Saccharomyces cerevisiae S288C: one gene and its partner. The protein of the gene in region 1 purifies or fractionates together with the protein of each later gene. This does not show direct contact. Each region holds a gene or a part of one and is shown in the gene's direction. Other genes may lie near its edges.

What was found.
Region 2: the proteins of TRZ1 (region 1) and YMR099C purify together in Saccharomyces cerevisiae (affinity purification with mass spectrometry; 3 studies listed by BioGRID, with this or other methods). This does not show direct contact.

The regions. Positions count from the first base shown.
Region 1 is NC_001143.9:586,289-591,208, reverse strand, and holds TRZ1 (tRNase Z), read left to right. Parts: upstream 1-1,903; coding exon 1,904-4,420; downstream 4,421-4,920. Other genes in the region: MTD1 (methylenetetrahydrofolate dehydrogenase (NAD(+))), read right to left, coding at 1-814; VPS501 (sorting nexin family protein), read right to left, coding at 4,500-4,920. UniProt on the Saccharomyces cerevisiae protein: Zinc phosphodiesterase, which displays some tRNA 3'-processing endonuclease activity. Probably involved in tRNA maturation, by removing a 3'-trailer from precursor tRNA.
Region 2 is NC_001145.3:455,225-471,861, reverse strand, and holds YMR099C (glucose-6-phosphate 1-epimerase), read left to right. Parts: upstream 1-7,034; coding exon 7,035-7,928; downstream 7,929-16,637. Other genes in the region: LAF1 (Laf1p), read left to right, coding at 1-2,014; SRT1 (ditrans,polycis-polyprenyl diphosphate synthase), read left to right, coding at 2,386-3,417; MYND-type zinc finger protein MUB1, read right to left, coding at 3,700-5,562; ATP25 (Atp25p), read left to right, coding at 9,253-11,091; putative GTPase MTG1, read left to right, coding at 11,335-12,438; pyridoxine biosynthesis protein SNZ1, read right to left, coding at 12,561-13,454; SNO1 (putative pyridoxal 5'-phosphate synthase), read left to right, coding at 13,903-14,577; CTF13 (Ctf13p), read right to left, coding at 14,601-16,037; snoRNA-binding rRNA-processing protein UTP15, read right to left, coding at 16,306-16,637. UniProt on the Saccharomyces cerevisiae protein: Catalyzes the interconversion between the alpha and beta anomers from at least three hexose 6-phosphate sugars (Glc6P, Gal6P, and Man6P).

The DNA.
Region 1 (4,920 bases):
TGCAGACGGCACCTTCTTTGATGTATTCGGTGGGGAATTTGTAATTTTCACTAGGGACACCAGTGATGACCACATCTGAATCAAGAGAACACTTTTTCAACAGATCTTCAGAGTACTCCCCAAGGTCTTCCACATGATGCTTGTTTAATTTCAAACTTTCACCACGGGTGAATTTTTGAATGTTGTTAACGTCCACAGAGTATACTGTGGCACCGTCATTGGCTAATAGCGCCGCCAGTGGTCTACCGACGATTTCTGACCTGTTAATTACTATGCATTTCTTCCCATACAGTCTGTTTCCTTCTGGTAACAAATTGTTGTAAATTTTCAAGAATTCCAATATCTTAACGATAGCTAGTGGTGTGCAAGGTAGAATGGATTTCAAACGGTTTTCTTTGTCCAGGTATCTGACATTATGGTACAGGTTTTGGTAGTAAACATGATTTAACCCTTCTACATCTTTTTCCTTGCACACAACCTGTTGCAAATACTGATCTTGAGCATTACCGAAAACAGGAAAGTATACCATGATACCGTTCACAGAGTCATCGCCGTTAGCTTGTATTATCGCTTCTTCCAAAAAATCCTTATCTTCAATGACCCTTAAGTCATAGCGGAACCCCATTGACTCGCTAGTCTTTTGAGTCCATGTAGCATACATCTTTGCAGCAGGATCATTATTAGCTAGGAATCCCACAAGAAGGGGACCTTGACCATTATGTGTCTTCTTGTATTCCTCTACGTTGTTAATTATTTCGGTATTGAAAGTTTCGGCGACCTTGCTTGCTAAAATAGTACGACCAGGCTTCGACATTTCTCTATAGATTTATATTGATGGGTTGTGTTGATAGGAATTAATTTTACTGTGCTTTGCGATACTGTACACTTGAATAGACAAGGAGGTATTGTATCTCAGCCCAAGAAGAAGCTGGTTGCAAGGCACTTAAATACTTTGCGTAGTTGCTTTTTTTCCTTTTCTACTGAGTCAATATATCATAATAGTAAAGACAGTAATATTAGTCTTTACAACGTTGTAGAAATCTATTTACCAGTTCATTGGGAATATTAGGGCTTGTGTTGATTCGGGCTGACTCCGCCAAAAAGAGTCGCAGGGCTTTCATTTTTTGTCAGGACTTGGACTAGGAAAAGAATAAATTGTCTTGGGGTTTTTCGCAAAAAAGTAGGGCCTCTTAGGGTACCTTGGAGTAGCGAATAATGCCATAAAATATCAATTTATGGAGGTGACAGCCTGCATAAACAATATACTACAGCCTCAGTTGGGTTATTTTTTTTCGAATGCATATTTGAAATACGATGTCACTGTTCCTACGGATATCATTGTCATGCTATAAAAAAAAGAGCAACCCACTCAACAAATCAAAATTGCTGTTACAGAATGTTTGCTAGGCCATTGTAATGGGGTTGCGGTATTCCTGGTTGCATTAATATCGCCCACTGATATCTCAAACGAGGACGTAGCGTTTCTACATAGTAACTGCTCGGTATTTCAGAACACTTACCCGCAGTGAAAAAAATTTTTGGGCATCGCATAATCTATAACTGACGTAAAGGGAAGACATAATTAGCATCCTAAACCTTGTCTTGGGCCCTTTTTCGGCAGTTCATACCACCTTTTAATGATTCTGTCTAGGTGGTTGTTTTTTGCCTCCTTTTCTCTCTCTAAAATACCCGAAAGGATATAGAGCGGCAGTGAAATAATCTTCCTCAAGCATAATTCAAACTGTCGAATATACTACTAAATAGTCATTCACACTTGAAATCCTTCTCATCTGCATTTTCCCATTTGGTCAGGAGGTATAAATCATACAGAAAGGGACCTAAAAAGCAACAGACTAATAGAACGACCACCCGCAAAGAAAAGAGTCCTGGAAGGTTTTCAACGATGTTCACATTTATACCCATCACCCATCCTACATCGGATACAAAGCACCCATTGCTGCTAGTCCAGTCTGCACATGGGGAAAAGTATTTCTTCGGTAAAATTGGTGAAGGATCCCAAAGGAGTCTGACTGAAAATAAGATCAGGATATCCAAATTGAAGGATATTTTCCTTACTGGTGAATTAAACTGGTCAGATATAGGTGGATTACCTGGAATGATTTTGACTATTGCTGATCAAGGGAAAAGTAATCTTGTTTTGCATTACGGCAATGACATTTTGAATTACATAGTTTCCACTTGGAGATACTTCGTCTTTAGATTCGGAATAGACTTGAACGATCACATTATGAAAGACAAGGAAGTATATAAAGATAAGATAATAGCTGTTAAATCCTTTAATGTTCTGAAAAATGGGGGGGAAGACAGGTTAGGCGTCTTCGATAGTTTTCAAAAAGGTGTATTACGTTCCATAGTAGCAAAAATGTTCCCCAAACATGCACCCACCGATAGGTACGATCCTTCTAGTGATCCGCACTTGAATGTAGAGTTGCCTGACTTAGACGCCAAAGTGGAAGTTTCTACGAATTACGAGATTTCATTCAGTCCAGTGAGGGGTAAATTTAAAGTGGAGGAAGCTATTAAACTAGGTGTTCCGAAGGGTCCCTTATTTGCAAAGTTAACCAAGGGCCAAACAATTACTTTGGATAACGGTATTGTTGTAACTCCGGAACAGGTATTGGAGAATGAACGTCATTTTGCCAAAGTATTGATCCTGGATATCCCAGATGACCTATATTTGAACGCTTTCGTAGAAAAATTCAAGGATTATGATTGTGCTGAGCTTGGCATGGTGTATTATTTTCTTGGTGATGAGGTTACCATTAATGATAATCTATTCGCGTTCATTGACATATTTGAGAAAAACAATTATGGTAAAGTAAATCATATGATATCCCACAATAAAATTTCTCCAAACACGATATCATTTTTCGGTTCTGCATTGACCACATTGAAATTAAAGGCACTACAAGTAAATAATTACAATTTACCAAAAACAGATCGTGTGTTTTCCAAGGACTTCTACGACAGATTCGATACACCACTCAGCAGAGGTACATCTATGTGTAAATCCCAGGAAGAGCCTTTGAATACAATAATAGAGAAGGATAACATTCATATTTTTTCACAAAACAAGACAGTAACTTTCGAACCATTTCGGATGAACGAAGAACCGATGAAATGCAACATCAACGGTGAAGTGGCGGATTTCTCGTGGCAAGAAATTTTCGAAGAACATGTAAAACCATTAGAATTTCCCTTAGCTGATGTCGATACAGTTATCAATAATCAACTACACGTGGATAACTTTAACAATTCAGCAGAAAAGAAGAAACACGTTGAAATTATCACCTTAGGAACCGGTAGTGCATTGCCTTCTAAATATAGAAACGTTGTCTCCACACTTGTTAAAGTTCCTTTTACTGACGCCGATGGAAATACCATAAATAGAAACATTATGCTAGATGCTGGTGAAAATACTTTAGGTACCATACACAGGATGTTTTCTCAGCTAGCAGTCAAGTCAATATTTCAGGATTTGAAAATGATATATCTGAGTCACTTGCATGCAGACCACCATTTGGGAATAATCAGCGTGCTAAATGAATGGTACAAATATAACAAGGATGATGAAACGAGTTATATATATGTGGTTACTCCATGGCAATATCACAAATTTGTTAATGAATGGTTAGTTCTAGAAAATAAAGAGATTTTAAAGAGAATCAAATACATAAGTTGTGAGCATTTCATCAATGATTCGTTTGTAAGAATGCAGACACAATCTGTTCCTTTGGCAGAGTTCAATGAAATATTGAAAGAAAATAGCAATCAAGAATCAAACAGAAAACTGGAACTGGATAGAGATTCTTCATATAGGGATGTTGACTTGATCAGACAAATGTATGAGGATTTATCGATAGAATATTTTCAAACTTGCAGAGCTATACATTGTGACTGGGCATATTCGAACTCAATTACCTTCCGAATGGACGAAAACAATGAGCATAATACATTCAAGGTTTCATATTCAGGCGATACAAGACCTAACATCGAGAAATTTTCCCTCGAAATAGGCTATAATTCAGATCTATTAATTCACGAAGCTACACTAGAAAATCAGCTACTGGAGGATGCCGTGAAGAAAAAACACTGCACTATTAATGAAGCAATCGGTGTTTCGAACAAAATGAATGCTAGGAAGTTGATCTTAACACACTTTTCCCAGAGATATCCCAAATTGCCCCAATTAGACAATAATATTGATGTGATGGCGAGAGAATTTTGTTTTGCTTTCGACAGTATGATCGTTGATTATGAGAAAATTGGTGAACAGCAGCGTATTTTTCCACTGCTGAATAAGGCATTTGTTGAAGAAAAGGAAGAAGAAGAAGATGTTGATGACGTTGAAAGCGTACAAGATTTGGAAGTCAAACTTAAGAAACACAAGAAAAATTAGTATAATTCATCTTAACTTCTTATATTGTTGCTTTTTCAGTAGTAAATTATCTTCTTTAATTACGTTATTATGTACATATTCATTGGCTTATGTGCTCATCTGGTACAAAGTCTTGCCATAATTGTAAATAGTGTTTCTTTTCATCCATGTTCAAATCTCTTATTGATTTTAAACAACTATTAACCTCGGCGGCTTCTCTCTTCTCAAATTCTTTCCGTTCATTTAAGATATCTTCCATAATTTTCTCCCAGCTCTGCTTAACACGGTTATATCTTTTTAATACAATGCGGTATTCATCCTCTGCCGTGCGTATCTTAAGGTCTTCATTGTTACTGTTGTTGTTTCCCGGAGATAGTTTGTCAAGAAAGTTTTTCTTCTTGTCTAGATCCACTTCTATGATGCTTAGAATTTTACCAAGCTTCAATCTTTGATTTAAGATGGATTCAAATGATTCGCAAAATCTTACATTTTCATCAAATAATATGATTAGCTTCAGAATG
Region 2 (16,637 bases), on another chromosome or scaffold:
CACTTCCAAATCATCTGAACCAACCTCTAAAGCTATATGGAGTACAAAGTTTAGCCGCGATGGAAAATTTATGGCCACTGGTAGCAAAGATGGTAAAATAAGAATATGGAAAGTTATTGGCTCTCCAGTTGAAAGAGCCGAATTGGACTCGAGTGCGGAATCAAATAAAGAGGCACGAGCCAAGTCGATGCGGATCAAACAGCAGGTCAGTTCATTGAACAATCCAAAAGAAAAACAATTTTTGGATTCTGCTACAGAGAAATACGAAGAGAAGGAAAAATTATTGAATTTGTATGCGCCTGTCTTTCACCCAACGCCTTTGCGACTGTATAAAGAACACGTGCAAGATGTTCTGGATATAAATTGGTCTAAAAATAATTTTATTTTGTCAGCATCGATGGATAAGACAGTAAAACTATGGCATCCCGATAGGAAAAATTCACTTAAGACATTCATACATCCTGATTTTGTCACTTGTGTGGAATTTCACCCCACCGACGATAGATTTTTCATTAGCGGCTGTCTGGATCACAAATGCAGGTTATGGTCTATACTGGATGATGAAGTTAGCTTTGAGTACGATTGTCAAGACTTAATAACATCTGTTACATTATCCCCTGAGGAGGGAAAATACACTATAATAGGAACATTTAATGGATACGTTCATATTCTGATGACCAGAGGTCTCACTCCAGTTTCTTCATTTCACGTAGCTGATAGACAAACACAAGAACAAAACGCTCACGTCATGGTCACGGAAACTGACTCAAAAATTCGTCATGGTCCACGTGTGACGGGTTTGCAAGCTTTTAGATCTCAACTGGACAATTCTTTCCGCTTAGTAGTTACATCGAATGATTCGAGGATAAGAATTTTTGACTTAGAACAGAGGAAGCTTCTAGAGGTATTGAAAGGCTTCCATAGCGGATCTTCCCAACACAAGGCACAATTGTCCATCTGGCATGGTCAGCCAATCGTTGTAAATAGTAGTGATGACCATTGGGTTTACGGCTGGAGGTTAAAGTCTTCGGATAGAGAGAATGATCAAGACGAACCTAAAAGGAAACCAAAGGGATTGGCTCGGTCCGGAAGTTTGAGAAGCATATTTAGTAAATCAATGAGTAGGTCTTCCAGCCAGAATAACGAAGAAAAACCACATCATCATTTAAAACTTACTAACTTACTTCCCTTGCCTCATCATAGCAACGATCATTATATCAAAAATACGGATTACATTTCTTTTCATGCACACAATGCCCCTGTTACTTGTGTTAGCATTGCACCGCCAGAAACTTCGAAAACATTATCTTTGTCTAACGATGTTATCTGCGAGCTATCTCTAGAGTTTTTTCAGACATCCGATAGTTTCGATGTTTTGAGTCGGAGTAACGACGATGGCATAATGTCAGATGTAGAGTCGTCTTTGGGCTACAATTCTAAACCAGGCTCAATTTCTAATGCTTCCGCCACCAGTGCTATCCCAGATGTCGTTGACGCAATTGGAACGATATTGATCAGTACTGATAACGTAGGGACTATTCGTGTGTTTAGAGCAGATATGCCCTCTGTTATAAGAAAGCGCGTGTTACTCAAACTAGAAGAATACAATAGAGAGGTTCGGAGAAGGTTTAACAGTTCTGATTCTTTGCATTCTTTGAGTCGAAGCTTCAACTCGAGAGCGAAATCAAACTTGGCTGGCCAACCGGCAGCGGCGTATACTAATACTGGAAAAGGCTATGCAACGGGACGTGGATACTCTAATATATGTCCCAAAAGCAGTACATCACTAAAAACACTCGGCAGTAATGCACAGCCAAGAACACCAAGGGAAAGCATGTCATCTATTTTCTCCAATGCACATGGGCCTACCACTCCAACGAGCGCAATGAATTTACCTATCCGTTGCAATGTTTGTAACGGTTCAAGGTTTGAGGCTTTTTCTGGTGCTAATGACCAACAAGATAGAAACTATTATTGCGTAGACTGCGGTACAGTAGTTAATAACTTCCGCTAACGCTGATGGAGTATTTTTTTTCCGTGGATGATACCTTTAAATGCATATTAATCTTCGTACATAAAGTAAAGAAACACGATACACTTAAATAAATTTTAATCTAATAATTAATGAACGCTAACAATGAGCCTATCATTTGTTGCCGATATACTATAACGTATCTCTTCGAAAGAACAAAACGGAGTGAGTGCCTGTTAAGGGTAACTACTCCAAACTGAGTGGACCTCGGCGGCTAAAGCTATACTTTTTCTGTTATTTAAGGGACCTAAAAATACACACAGAGTAGATTAAGATTTGGTGCACTTTTCTCAATTTATCAACTTATAAAGAACAGGCTGCCTTTCAAACATAGGACGTTTCTGTTGACCATAATGAAAATGCCCAGTATTATTCAGATTCAGTTTGTAGCCCTAAAAAGGCTTTTGGTAGAAACCAAAGAACAGATGTGCTTCGCAGTGAAAAGTATATTTCAGAGAGTATTTGCGTGGGTTATGTCATTAAGCTTGTTTTCATGGTTTTATGTAAATCTTCAGAATATTTTGATAAAAGCATTAAGGGTAGGGCCAGTGCCTGAACATGTCTCCTTTATCATGGATGGTAACCGGAGATATGCCAAGTCAAGAAGGCTACCAGTAAAAAAAGGCCATGAAGCTGGTGGGTTAACGTTACTAACACTACTGTATATCTGCAAAAGATTGGGTGTAAAATGTGTTTCCGCCTATGCATTTTCTATTGAAAATTTTAATAGACCAAAAGAAGAAGTAGATACGCTAATGAATTTGTTTACGGTAAAGCTTGATGAATTCGCAAAAAGAGCCAAGGACTATAAGGATCCCTTATACGGATCTAAAATAAGAATAGTAGGTGATCAATCTTTACTATCTCCAGAAATGAGAAAAAAAATTAAAAAAGTGGAAGAAATCACACAGGATGGAGACGATTTCACTTTATTTATATGTTTTCCTTACACTTCAAGAAATGATATGTTACATACTATTCGTGATTCAGTTGAAGACCATTTGGAAAATAAATCACCAAGGATTAATATAAGAAAATTTACTAATAAAATGTACATGGGTTTCCATTCCAATAAATGTGAATTATTAATCAGAACAAGTGGGCATAGGAGGCTCTCAGACTATATGCTATGGCAAGTACATGAAAATGCCACCATTGAATTTAGTGATACGTTGTGGCCAAATTTTAGCTTCTTTGCTATGTACCTGATGATTCTCAAATGGTCCTTCTTTTCCACCATTCAAAAATATAATGAGAAGAATCACTCATTGTTTGAAAAAATACATGAAAGCGTTCCTTCAATATTTAAAAAAAAGAAAACAGCTATGTCTTTGTACAACTTTCCAAACCCCCCCATTTCAGTTTCGGTTACAGGAGATGAATAAGTAAAAGTGCAAAACTAGAAAGCCCAAGAGAGGGCAAAGAACATTCTGAAAACTCCCTGATTCTTCCATACCTATTACCATATTACATCATTTTTAATTAGTAGTCTTTTAATTATCTATTATATCCGGTATATAAAATATCCTTGCGCCAAGTGTATAGCTAATAAAATGTAAAAAAAAAAAAAATTAGGAACAAAAAATAAAAAAAGCGAAAACAAAAAACTCCGTTAATGAATATTTCATGATCTTGTTAAACCTAGGTCATCGAAATCCCCTTGTACTTTACTCAGGTATGCTATTTTCATCCCTATTGCTTATTTCATCAGGTACGGTGGTGGATATATTAGGAGTGAACGTACTGGTAGAATTCGAAACATCAGCTGCTGTAGTAGCGGTGGCATTTAAAGAACTAGGCTCATTTGGGGTATTGACACCTGTGGTAGTATTCGTGGATCTCATATGACTTGATCCAACTTCGTGACACCAATACCTATGATATCCCCATGCTTTTAATTGACACTTTCGTGAGCAATATTTCGTTCTTTTGCATCGACGACATTTTGCAAATTGTCTTGGAAAATCTTCCCATTTTCCGCACGAAAAATTGGCACACTGACGCACACCTAAGATCTCATTTTTTCGACATGAATTTCTCATGATGACAGAACTCCAATATATAACATCATGTGTATTTTCTGCGCTCACTGTATATTTTTCGACTAAGGGGAAGATGTTTACAACATTTGTTAGTACCTTGTTTTTGTAAACAATATTTGTTAATTCCTTTTTCATTTTATCGTAGCTCCAGCGCCTTTCAAAGTTATCAGATATTTTCTTCCTTAAATTAATTCTTTCCTTGTCTTTGCCATAGGCATTGTCGTCGCTAGGTTTCGGTACACGGTAGCGCTCAAACAAATTAAGAACGGGACAGTGGTTATTACATATTTCATTTTGTTCTTCTTGTTGACATCTGTTTGAGAGTTCTTCTAATTCTTTGAAAAATGGATCCATTTTGCTAGTATCTAGTGCCTTAACTTTGGAATTGTTTTCAGGATTTTTCGATAAATAAGGATATAATGAAGACAATTTTACAGTTACGTCTCTTTCTTGTTCTTCTAAGTCATTCTCTTCTGAGATTCTCTGTTTAATTTTGTAAGCCATACTTCTGAACGATAGGGATTCAACCAGCTCAACATTTTGAAGGGTTGATTTCATATATGTATACTTCGAAACAAAAGCTAATAACTGAAGCGACCATATAACGTCGTCTTGTTTGGGGACAATTCTTCCGAGAAAAAATTCACGTGGAGTGGAAATTGTAGGTCTATTAATGTCTGGTTGCGAAAAGAAATTCTTATGTGCATCAAAATTTTCACTTTCTACTTCACTATCAATATCAATGTCGTCGTCGTGTCTTTCCTGGTCAGGTTCAAAATTGCTAGCTAGGTCTGCAAACCGGCCCCATATATCACTAAAATCAGTTGGAATTGTCATAGACGGTGCCACTAATCGTTCGTTTAGAAAATTTTTGTCAGTTGACAACTTCAATTTATCCTGACCTGTAATGAACTCTATATACTGCTGATATGTTTCATTCTCATCTTTTCTCATGAATTTATACATTGTCTCCGTGGTTATCCCTTTGAAGTCAAAGGTCATTGTTTGATCTTTGATGAAGTCGTAATTTTTATGATATAGTAAATAGTTATCCAATACTGTGACCAGCACAGATAAGACCCCAGACATTACCACTTTTTTACGAATTTGTTCTGTCCCTCTAGTACCTGTCAATACTAAGCACTGAAATGTTAAAGTCCATTTCCAAGCGCATAGTGCTAGTCTTTTCTCCTTCCATAGATCCTTTATGTTTTCGTGCTCATTAAAATTTTCTAAATCCAAATCCAGCAACTCAAACAAACTTAAATGACAACTCCTCAATATTGAGACTAATCTTTCGAGAGCACCGTCGTTAGCTACCGTTTCCCTAACTTTTGATGAATTAGAGGTTAGATATGTTAAGTAGTTTAGGGAGTTTATTAACGGAATACTAGAGTTGATATCCAATGCCCTTCGGTCATAGACAGTAGATGTTATTGTTACTATAGGCTTGTTCGACGTTAATGATCGATGATTAGAGTCTCTCATTTCTTTACCTTTTCTTTGTTTTGAATATTTCAAATTACGTTCTATACGCTGTTATGATATGTTAATATAGCAAAAACAAACAAAAACTCCCAGGGAAATGAATTGAAAAATGCAACAAATAGGGACCTCACCTTTGTATAATGGAAGATTCCCAAGTTTCACTTATAGTTGATCAATGGGTATGATGAAATTAGCAAAGTAAAAAAGGGAATGTTTAATGGTTCAACTTAGATAAATGGAAGGTTGAATATGAGAACCAACAAAAATAAAAAATAAATAAAGTCTCAAATTATCTATATCGCTCTAATGAGGAAGTCACTGTGCACACTTACAGAAACTATATAAAAAACGGATATTTTTCTCTTCAGGTAGGGAAGTTTGTCCAGCACTTTCTTCCTTGTGAGCTGCTCTAGGTCTTTCGTTTGTATAGGCCGACCATCAATAACCCAACTCTCAAATTTTGCCACTGAACACCCATACAATACATAACCAAAGTATTCTAGTTGTTATCCTAGCTCGATGCATTGTTGTAGTAGGCCTAATAAGAAGATAGTTCAACCAAGAAAAATAGTCAAAAGGCTTTTTGCCGTTTGAACCATCATAAACTTATGGAAGCCATCTAAATAATTTTCCTTTTTCCTGGTTCCTTTCTATGTATCCAAAGATATATATTAAGTAGCCCACTTCTAGCCAACTTCTAGCCCACTTCTTAGGTAGTAACTATACGCAGCTGCTCCAGGAGGGAAAGAAAAAACCAACGGTCTATATTGTAATAACTATTAGTTTTCTTTCTCTTTCCGTGGGCTTCAACGGCCTTTATATAGCTCTTATTATTCGGAGTTGCTATTGGCGGCTAATATCTTGCGAAAAACGTGAGAATATGAACTTTAAAGTACACATGACTCGATTACTGATAACAAAATTGAGAGGGAAATACATAAGTCAAAATAATAAATGTCTGATGGACCATCTAACAGTTCACCTCGATCTACATATATTTCAATGCGAGAATGATTAATTCTTGCCATTGACAAACAACCCTTTTACTGCCAGCGCCTTTCATAACCATGTAGTTTTATATGCCTAATTATAATAAAGCATGACATATAATGCCAACCCCATATTTATATAGTTAACTTGAAACCGAGATTCATCTATTGCACCAGGAAAAGTGCCTTCTTCTTAAAACATAAGTTACGTCCCGACCATTCATCTAAACGGCATCAATCATTGCAGCAGAAGAAATAGTGTGTAGATGTCCTCGTTCGCTAGACGCAGTCAATGATAACAAGGTCTTTCTTCAAGCTGTCTTTCCATAAAAAGGTATCGCAAATGGGGTCACCAATGCGCCTTTTATTTTTCACGCCGAAAGAAAACTTAGTAGGTCCCTAGAAATGAATAAAGAGGTGATTCTGAGGTTCATTATAAGCCTTTGGTAAAACTTGAACCAAGAAAGATTAAAACACAAAGCCATGCCTATCAAAGAAACTGATAAAGAAGTTGTTTTGACTCATCCAGCTGATGAGACCACCAGCGTTCATATTCTAAAGTACGGTGCTACAGTTTATTCTTGGAAATTGAAATCTGAAGAACAGTTGTGGTTGTCTACTGCTGCTAAATTGGATGGTAGCAAACCTGTGAGAGGTGGTATACCTTTGGTCTTTCCTGTATTCGGGAAAAATAGCACCGATGAACATTTGAGTAAATTACCTCAACATGGTCTTGCAAGAAATTCTACTTGGGAGTTTTTGGGTCAAACTAAGGAAAACCCACCGACCGTACAATTTGGCTTGAAACCAGAAATTGCTAACCCAGAATTGACCAAATTGTGGCCAATGGATTATCTTTTGATTTTGACTGTTGAATTAGGCTCCGATTATTTGAAAACTGCCATAGAAGTAGAAAACACATCTAGTTCCAAGGAATTAAAGTTCAACTGGTTGTTCCATACATACTTCCGTATCGAAGATATTGAAGGAACAATGGTCTCTAATTTAGCTGGCATGAAACTTTATGACCAACTGTTGAAGGAATCCTACGTCGACAAGCACCCAGTCGTTACCTTCAATCAAGAAACCGATGTAATTTATCAGAATGTCAGCGCCGAACGGGCCATTCAAATAGTTGACAAGGGCGTTCAAATTCACACTCTAAAAAGATACAACTTGCCCGACACTGTTGTTTGGAATCCATGGATTGAGAAGTCTCAAGGGATGGCCGATTTCGAACCAAAAACTGGTTACCAACAAATGATATGTATTGAACCTGGTCATGTTCATGATTTTATTTCCTTGGCTCCTGGTAAAAAATGGAATGCTTATCAATTACTTTGCAAAGAAGAATTGAAATATCAAGCTATTCAATAAATAATATAAAAAAATGTAGCAACGGTAATTTTTATAAAGTAAATTCCCAGTTGTATACTTTTCTTAATGTGGGCTATTTGATTACCTCCATCCTTTATCTTTGTTTTTGTTGACGAACAACTAAAGCAACATTCTGTTTACTAAGACTCTTATTTAATTCCAAGTGCAGCAAGAACAAATTGCCAAAAGCGTATTGTTAAACTTGTTCTGGCAGCATATTATCGTAAAATTAAGTAACGTTTTTAAAAATGACACTGAATTCTACTTTGTGATGATCAAACAACACCCACCTGGTCTGATAAAAAAATCTCCGCGACGGGGAATTGAACCCCGATCTGGCACGCGACAAGCGCCCATTCTGACCATTAAACTATCACGGACAAATTTCTGAAGTTTTGTACTTTTACCAGTCCATCTAATACCATATATTTTGATAATAATTATGTCTTTGACAGTAACTTATCATCAGGACTGTTGGAATAAAAATCAAAAATCAACTATCGTCTATCAACTAGTAGTCACACTACCAGTATATTATGATATACGGTGTTAGATGATGGCATAAGGTATGAGAAGCTGTCATCGAAGTTAGAGGATGCTGAAATGCAAGGATTGATAATGTAATAGGATAATGAAACATGTAAAACAGAGTGAAGAATAATCGTAATACTATTATGTAGAAATATGGATTCCATTTGAGGGTTCCTATATCCTCGAGGAGAACTTTTAGTATATTTTGTGTACTATTATTATAGCTGTTAAGTATAATTGGATCCTAACAATTCTCATTATTTGTCAAATTCTCATCATCTATATATTAGACGCCGCATATAGGAAACAGCGATCAAACTTTAACGAAGCGAACATACAATATTCCTGATGTAATAATACCAATCAGCGAACTGTACGAAACAAATAGAAGAACGTTATATTATATGGGATTTTACACTTTTTTGGTGGTATCATATATGCTTGAAAAGATCCTGCAGCATTTCTATATACCTGATAATATTGGTTTTATTAGAAATGGGGTCACAATCATCCGAACTATCGTAACTTTAGAAATAATCCGTCTTTCTTAAATAGTACTCTAGTACACAGTAATGGTATTTGTTTTTACTAGTATTTCTTGACATCTTTTTCTAACCTCTCTTCTAATATACTTGCAATCTTCTGATAATTATGCTTTTCATCCCGATAAAGAGAAACAATGAGGACCATTCAGCCAAAAAAAAAAAAAGCAAGTTAAGCTACTAAGAAAGATCGACACCAAGTGAAGATTAAGTGTAATAGCCTGCTTATTCAAAAATTGAGGTTTGTTGACATGAATAAATTCTGTCTACTACCTTTCCATGGCAAGAGGATAGGCGTGGCCAATATTCCTTTTACCATATTATTCAAAAAGGGCCCTTATTTTCTTCATAGTCACATCACAGCAGTTTATTACTCGACAAAGGGCAAAAATGACAGTCATGAACAAAGTCGTGTATCCAAAAAGTCTACTTTTACCCCTCTGGAAACACCTTGGTACCTCAGGATTGTTGACAATGAAAAGGAACTAATGGAAGGTAAGAAAAATAACCACCACACGATGAACAAAGAATTGGAGATACCTAAAACCTCTCCAAACTCATTAAGAAAAATAGCAGACCTCCTAACTGGTAAACTTGGTCTGGATGACTTCCTGGTTTTCGATTTACGGAAGAAAAGCCCAAACTCTGTTTCAGCCGTTAATAAGTTGGGTGACTTCATGGTCATATGTACAGCAAGATCTACCAAACATTGTCATAAAAGTTTCTTAGAGTTGAACAAGTTTTTGAAGCACGAATTCTGTAGTAGTGCATACGTTGAAGGAAACTTTAATGAGCGACAAGAAAGTAGAAGAAAAAGAAGATTAGCAAGAAAATCCAACCTTAGTAAACTATTAGGTAGAAGCTCTGAATGCTCTGCAAAAGACTTAAATAGTGAGGCTTGGTATATGATTGATTGTCGTGTCGATGGTATTTTTGTAAATATTTTGACACAGAGAAGGCGTAATGAATTGAATTTAGAAGAGCTGTATGCACCTGAAAATGAGAAATCTAAGTTCCAAAATATAGATTCAGGTAATGTCCCTACTATTTCAGGGGTAAATGAAATTTCAAGCAACAATAATATTCTTTTAGGCCTAAGAAGACTGGCCCAGCAAAGGAGAAGGTATTCAACTATCAACCCAAACGGGCTAAGTAATTTAAGATACTTTCTACAAAAGGAAGACTTCAAAGGAGCCAATAAGATAATTCAGAGTAGTAGTGGTACTGAAACTCACAATATACGTACTTTGGAGCATGTTAAAAATACTTTAAAGGATTTGGTAGGACAAGAGAGGAAAGTAGATGTTGTTCAATGGAAGTCCTTATTTGACGAACATTCAACTTTTTTAACCATAAATCAATCGGCTGCATATTGGCCACTACGACTAGAATATGCGATACTTCTAAACAAAGCAGACCCACAATTTTATTCAGATCGTGTTTTCCTCAAGGATTATCTACTTTTAAAAAAATCGTTGGGGCAAGAGTTAATAAGGGAAGATCTAATCGCTCTTTTAGAAATGGTTTTGAAAACGCAGCATTCTAGTCATTCATACTTTAACCTAGTAAAGCAAAATAGGGTGATTATCAGAGCTTTGAACCTATTTAAAGGTCTACAAACAGAGGACGATGGCTCAGTTGTTTACGATGAAGTGGTAATATCCCTTCTTTTAAATTCCATGGTCGCGGATGAACGGGTAAAATTGAGATCACTCTACGAGACAATAGACCACATTTTCCAAACATTTGGAGATAAGTTGACTTCAGGCATGATTGTCTCAATATTGCAAAACTTGGCCAAAATCAAAGACTGGAATAAGCTACTTCAAGTCTGGGAAGCTATCACACCAACGGAAGGGGAAGGTCAGGACAAAAGGCCCTGGAATGAATTTATAAATGTTATCAATCAAAGCGGTGATAGTCACGTTATATCGAAAATCGTAAATAATGGTCATTTGCTATGGATCAGACGTTTAAATGTTAACGTAACTCCGGAGTTATGCAACTCCATTAAAGCGTTATTAAAAACCGCTGGAATGGAGAATTCCACATTGGAAGAATTCCTAGTCCGTGGAACAAACAATCAATAGTATTACCTGTATATAATATCTTAATCTCTCGTCGTTCGCCTTATTTATATTTGAATCAAATATTTAATTCTGCCACATGGTAGGTTCATTTTGCCGCAGATCAAAGAACACGGACCATCATGTCAAAAGTACACAATTTTTGTCTTTTCGAAACAATTTGGTTTAGTTATTAGGAGAAGAAAGAACGAATGATAATGCTCATTACTCAGACCTGAATGCAAAAAAGCCAAATCAAATACAGAAATGCACATAAATGTGAGAGGAACTAGGAAAATAATTTCCAACGTTTCATCCTTCACACCAAGATATGAATTTCCAAAGTACAGTATGCCTCTCACTGATTTCAAGGGACACCAAGTCAAAGCTCTTAAAACATTTGAAAAGTTGCTTCCTCAAATGAATATGATAATAGAACTACGTGATATACGTGCCCCGTTATCTACAAGGAATGTGGTTTTCGATCGAATAGCAAGAAAGGAACACGATGTGATGAAATTAGTGGTATACACTAGAAAGGATCTTATGCCCGGCAATAAGCCATATATAGGAAAGTTAAAGAATTGGCATGAAGAGCTGGGAGAAAAGTTTATTTTACTGGATTGCCGAAACAAAACTGACGTCAGGAATCTACTAAAAATACTAGAATGGCAAAATTACGAACTAGAAACAAATGGCGGATATCTACCTATGGGATACCGAGCATTGATTACTGGCATGCCAAATGTTGGAAAATCTACTTTAATAAATAGCTTGAGGACAATTTTTCACAATCAAGTGAATATGGGAAGAAAATTTAAGAAAGTAGCCAAAACTGGTGCAGAAGCTGGTGTTACTAGAGCCACAAGCGAGGTTATTAGAGTAACTTCACGGAATACGGAATCAAGAAATGAAATATACTTGATAGATACTCCAGGAATCGGTGTTCCCGGTCGCGTTTCAGATCATAATAGAATGCTAGGACTGGCGTTGTGTGGTAGTGTTAAAAATAACCTTGTAGATCCAATATTTCAAGCGGATTACCTTTTATACCTAATGAACTTGCAAAATTTGAACGATGGAAGAACAGAGCTTTACCCTGGAAGCACCAATTCTCCCACAAATGATATATATGATGTTTTAAGAAGGCTTCAAGTGAATAAAAGCCAAAATGAAAAATCAACGGCTATCGAGTGGACTAACAAATGGAGGTTGCATGGAAAGGGTATCATATTTGACCCTGAGGTACTGTTGAATAATGACGAGTTTTCTTATAAAAACTATGTAAATGATCAATTGGAAAAGTTAGGAGATCTTTCGTATGAGGGATTGTCTAACAAACTAAAAGGGAACCCCAATCAAGTATTCTAGTAAATAATATCCAGCATACATAAGCTTATCTAATAATTAGATCATTTTACAATGTGTACCGAGTAATACAAAGTTGAGGGGGGAAAAAGTGTTATAATGCTCAAAATACCTGTTCAAAGAAATCACCACCCAATTTCGGAAAGTCTTACTCCATTGGAAGCATGACTAATAGATTCGATTGATACACCACCCATTAACTCTCCTAAGTCACTAGATACTTCCAACAATTTGCTGGGATTGTCAAAGTGAGTGGTAGCCTCTACTACTGCAGTGGCCAACCTTACAGGATTAGATGATTTAAAAATTCCTGAGCCAACAAACACACCATCACAACCCAACTGCATTAACAATGCGGCATCGGCTGGCGTTGCTACACCACCTGCAGCAAAATTTACTACTGGCAACTTACCTTTTTCTAAAACATCTTTCAGCAAAGAAACTGGTACCCTCATTTCCTCAGCAACTTTTGCAATGTCATCTTCGCTCTTCAATTGTTGGCACGCCTTTATCTCCTCTGTAATTCTCCTTATATGCTTGACGGCTTCAGAGACATCGCCCGTTCCAGCTTCACCCTTGGTACGAATCATAGCGGCGCCTTCATTAATTCTTCTCAAAGCTTCACCTAAGTCTTTAGCGCCACAAACAAATGGAACTTTGAATTTGTCCTTTTCAATGTGGTGAGTCCAATCAGCAGGAGTCAAGACTTCACTTTCGTCAATATAGTCAACTTCCAATGCCTCAATAATTTGAGCTTCAACAAAATGGCCAATCCTTACCTTAGCCATGACGGGAATGGAAACGGAGTTCATGATGTCCTTAATCATCTTCGGATCTGACATGCGGCAAACCTTTCCTGACTTACGCATATCTGCTGGGATGGATTCTAATGCCATTACCGCACATGCACCAGATTTTTCAGCTATTTTTGCCTGCTCTGGAGTAACAACATCCATAATAACGCCACCTTTTAACATTTGGGCGAGACCACTCTTGATCTTAAAGTCTTCTCCAGTCATCGTGATAATTAACTGAATATTAGTACTGTGTATATTTGCTAGTCGTTCCTAAAGGTTTCTCCAACAATACCATAGACTTCGTCCATAGCTCTCAGCGTCCTCCTATTTATATCGAAAATGGTACTTCGCAGCCAGAATTACAGACGTAACTAACGGTGCGGCAGAGTGTGTCAGAGTCATGAAGAAATGGCGGCGCTACCTGAAAAGTAGTGAAAAAGCCCGGCTTTCAACCCTTACCCTTGTCGGCTGAGTCATTATGTCATGATGAGCTATTCCAACTAGTGCCATAAATTCCAACTGAGTCAGTAAACGGCATTTATCAGCAATAACTGGTCACGAACTCTTTGAATGTTTTATTCTTTCTTCCAAAAATCACGTTGATGCCACCAGGTTTTTTTTTCTTATTATTTCATTTCGTTAAATAGAAAGAAAAACCATATCTTAAAGTATGCACAAAACCCACAGTACAATGTCCGGAAAGTCGATGAAAGTAATTGGGGTTTTGGCGTTGCAAGGTGCCTTTTTGGAGCATACCAACCATTTAAAAAGGTGTTTGGCTGAAAACGACTACGGAATAAAGATAGAAATCAAAACTGTAAAAACTCCTGAGGATCTAGCCCAGTGCGACGCCTTAATTATTCCCGGAGGAGAATCTACGTCGATGTCCCTCATCGCTCAAAGAACAGGCTTATATCCTTGTTTATACGAATTTGTTCATAATCCGGAAAAGGTAGTTTGGGGTACTTGTGCTGGTCTCATCTTTTTAAGCGCGCAATTAGAAAACGAAAGTGCCCTAGTAAAGACTTTAGGTGTGTTGAAGGTCGACGTGAGAAGAAACGCATTTGGAAGACAAGCTCAATCTTTTACACAAAAGTGTGATTTTTCCAATTTCATACCTGGCTGTGATAATTTTCCTGCTACATTTATTCGCGCACCCGTGATCGAGAGAATTCTTGATCCTATCGCGGTTAAAAGTTTATATGAATTGCCAGTGAATGGAAAGGATGTGGTTGTAGCTGCAACGCAAAATCATAATATCCTTGTGACTTCTTTTCATCCAGAGCTTGCTGACAGTGATACAAGATTTCATGATTGGTTTATCAGACAGTTTGTTTCTAATTAAAATACCGCCGGTTTTCCACATTTTTATATTACCAAAACCTGAGAGATTTTTTCACATCGATAAATCTCTACTCGTTTACTATCGAACAATGCTCTAGGTACGATGATATTGTTAAAAACTTCAGATACATTTTGTAGCTTGATATGGTTCAAAGTCCGAAAAGATAGCCAAACTATTGCTTGACATCGAAGGTATGTTATTTGATTAATTTCACTTTTGTCAAGCTCTTTTATTCTTGTGTGTCGTAAATTAAAAAATTTTGTGAATTTACTATCATCTTCCTTTATGTACAACGATTTAAAAGTTCTCTTATCGACTTTTAGTTCCTTTAGTATATTTTCCTCGATGTTCCACCACTTGATTTTACTTACACGTTTCATTGTCAGAGATTTAAAATTTTTGGGAAAGACAATGCTATTCAGGTCGATGTAAGCTACTCTACTTAATACAAGCTTTTGCAAGTTGTCCCATCTTGTAAAGTCAGCTAGTCCGGTTCTGGAAATTTGATTCATGCGTGATAGGCGTATTTCATTTATCCTACGTTTCACTATGTAACTAATCGTTTTACCAGGATTGTCTCTGAACCCATGAAAATTTATTAGCAACTCATATAATTTCTCTCCTCTCACAGTGATCTTCCGCAGGCTCTTCATGGATTCCATACTTCTTATTGTTCTTATAACAGAAATACTTGTTAGTTGGTTGTGCGTTGCTCCCACATTGCCATTATCTGAATGTGATCTTTTGGATGCTGACCTTTTCTTGTTTTTAATTGTGGAGCTAGGTGAGGAGTTTTCGTCAGAATTAGCTCCACTAACATCAACATCTTTCTCTTCTCCTACTTCTTCATCTTGTCCAAATTGTACCTCCCCGATTGTTGCGAATAAATCTTTCTGTTCTAAAATTGATAAGCATTTGTCTACTAGTTGTGGAGTTAGATTATCAATGTTGAATTGAATATTACTTACATTAAGTAAGTCAAGCTCGTCAAAAGCAACACTGTCTATCACCCACTTCTTGTACTCTTTAAAAGTATACCAAACTTCTAACATACTGGCCTTATTGAAGTAGGCCAGTCGAAGTTCATTATCAAGGTACGTCCATTCTAATGCATCTATAAGCGTTCCGTCATAAAGATGGTTTACTTTGAAACAGTCCAAAACCAGGCAATCATAGCGCAACCAAAATGCATACTCAAGCCATTTTTCAATGAGTTGCGGAGAGTATTCGAAAATGTTCAAATACGTGGCAAAAACAGGATACATGTATCTCAATAATTTCTTAGATCTCTTAGACCTTTTATAACTTGGTTTTCCTGGAAGCTCCACATCATTAGATTTGTATAATATATCTATTGGGTAGGGATGTGCTCCGCAAAAATTACCATCTAAATGGAAGTAAACTTCTTTTCTAATGTCAATTGGTAACTCTAAGAATCTAACAGGATTGAAAGAAGGCATCAAGCGACATGGACTTCTGGGGACTCACAGTCAGCTTTCTGTTGATAGCATCTCATCTCACAATGTTTTGTTTTCAAGCCCTCGAAGGTAGTTAAACGCGAAAACGTATCAAAATGCAAAGCACTCTAAAATGAAATTTATACAGGTTCCTTTTTTCAATAAAAAGAGAAGATATTATTTTTTTCGATTACAATGAGAAAGAGATATATATGTATGCCTGAATATCTATAAAATAGATACAAATTAAAATCTATATGCTAATATTTCCTTAACTCGTTAAAAGTTGAAGCATACCTTCAATTCTTTGAGCTTCTTTAGACTTATGAATTTCATGTCTAACTTTAGTTTTCAAATCTATCATCAATTCTTGAAGAACTGGAGAGCTTTCTAACGTATTCCCATATAATTCTAAAACCACGGCGACCCAATCCGCTACAATAGATGCTGATCTCACATCTTCAATACCTTTTAAGCACCAATTCAGTAGCGGCTCTAATGTAGATTCATCTCTACCATATAGCGCTACACGAACTTTGCCACGTTTGCGTAGTTCTTGAAGAACAGTAAGTGTCAACTCTTTGGCCATACCTGGTACAAAGG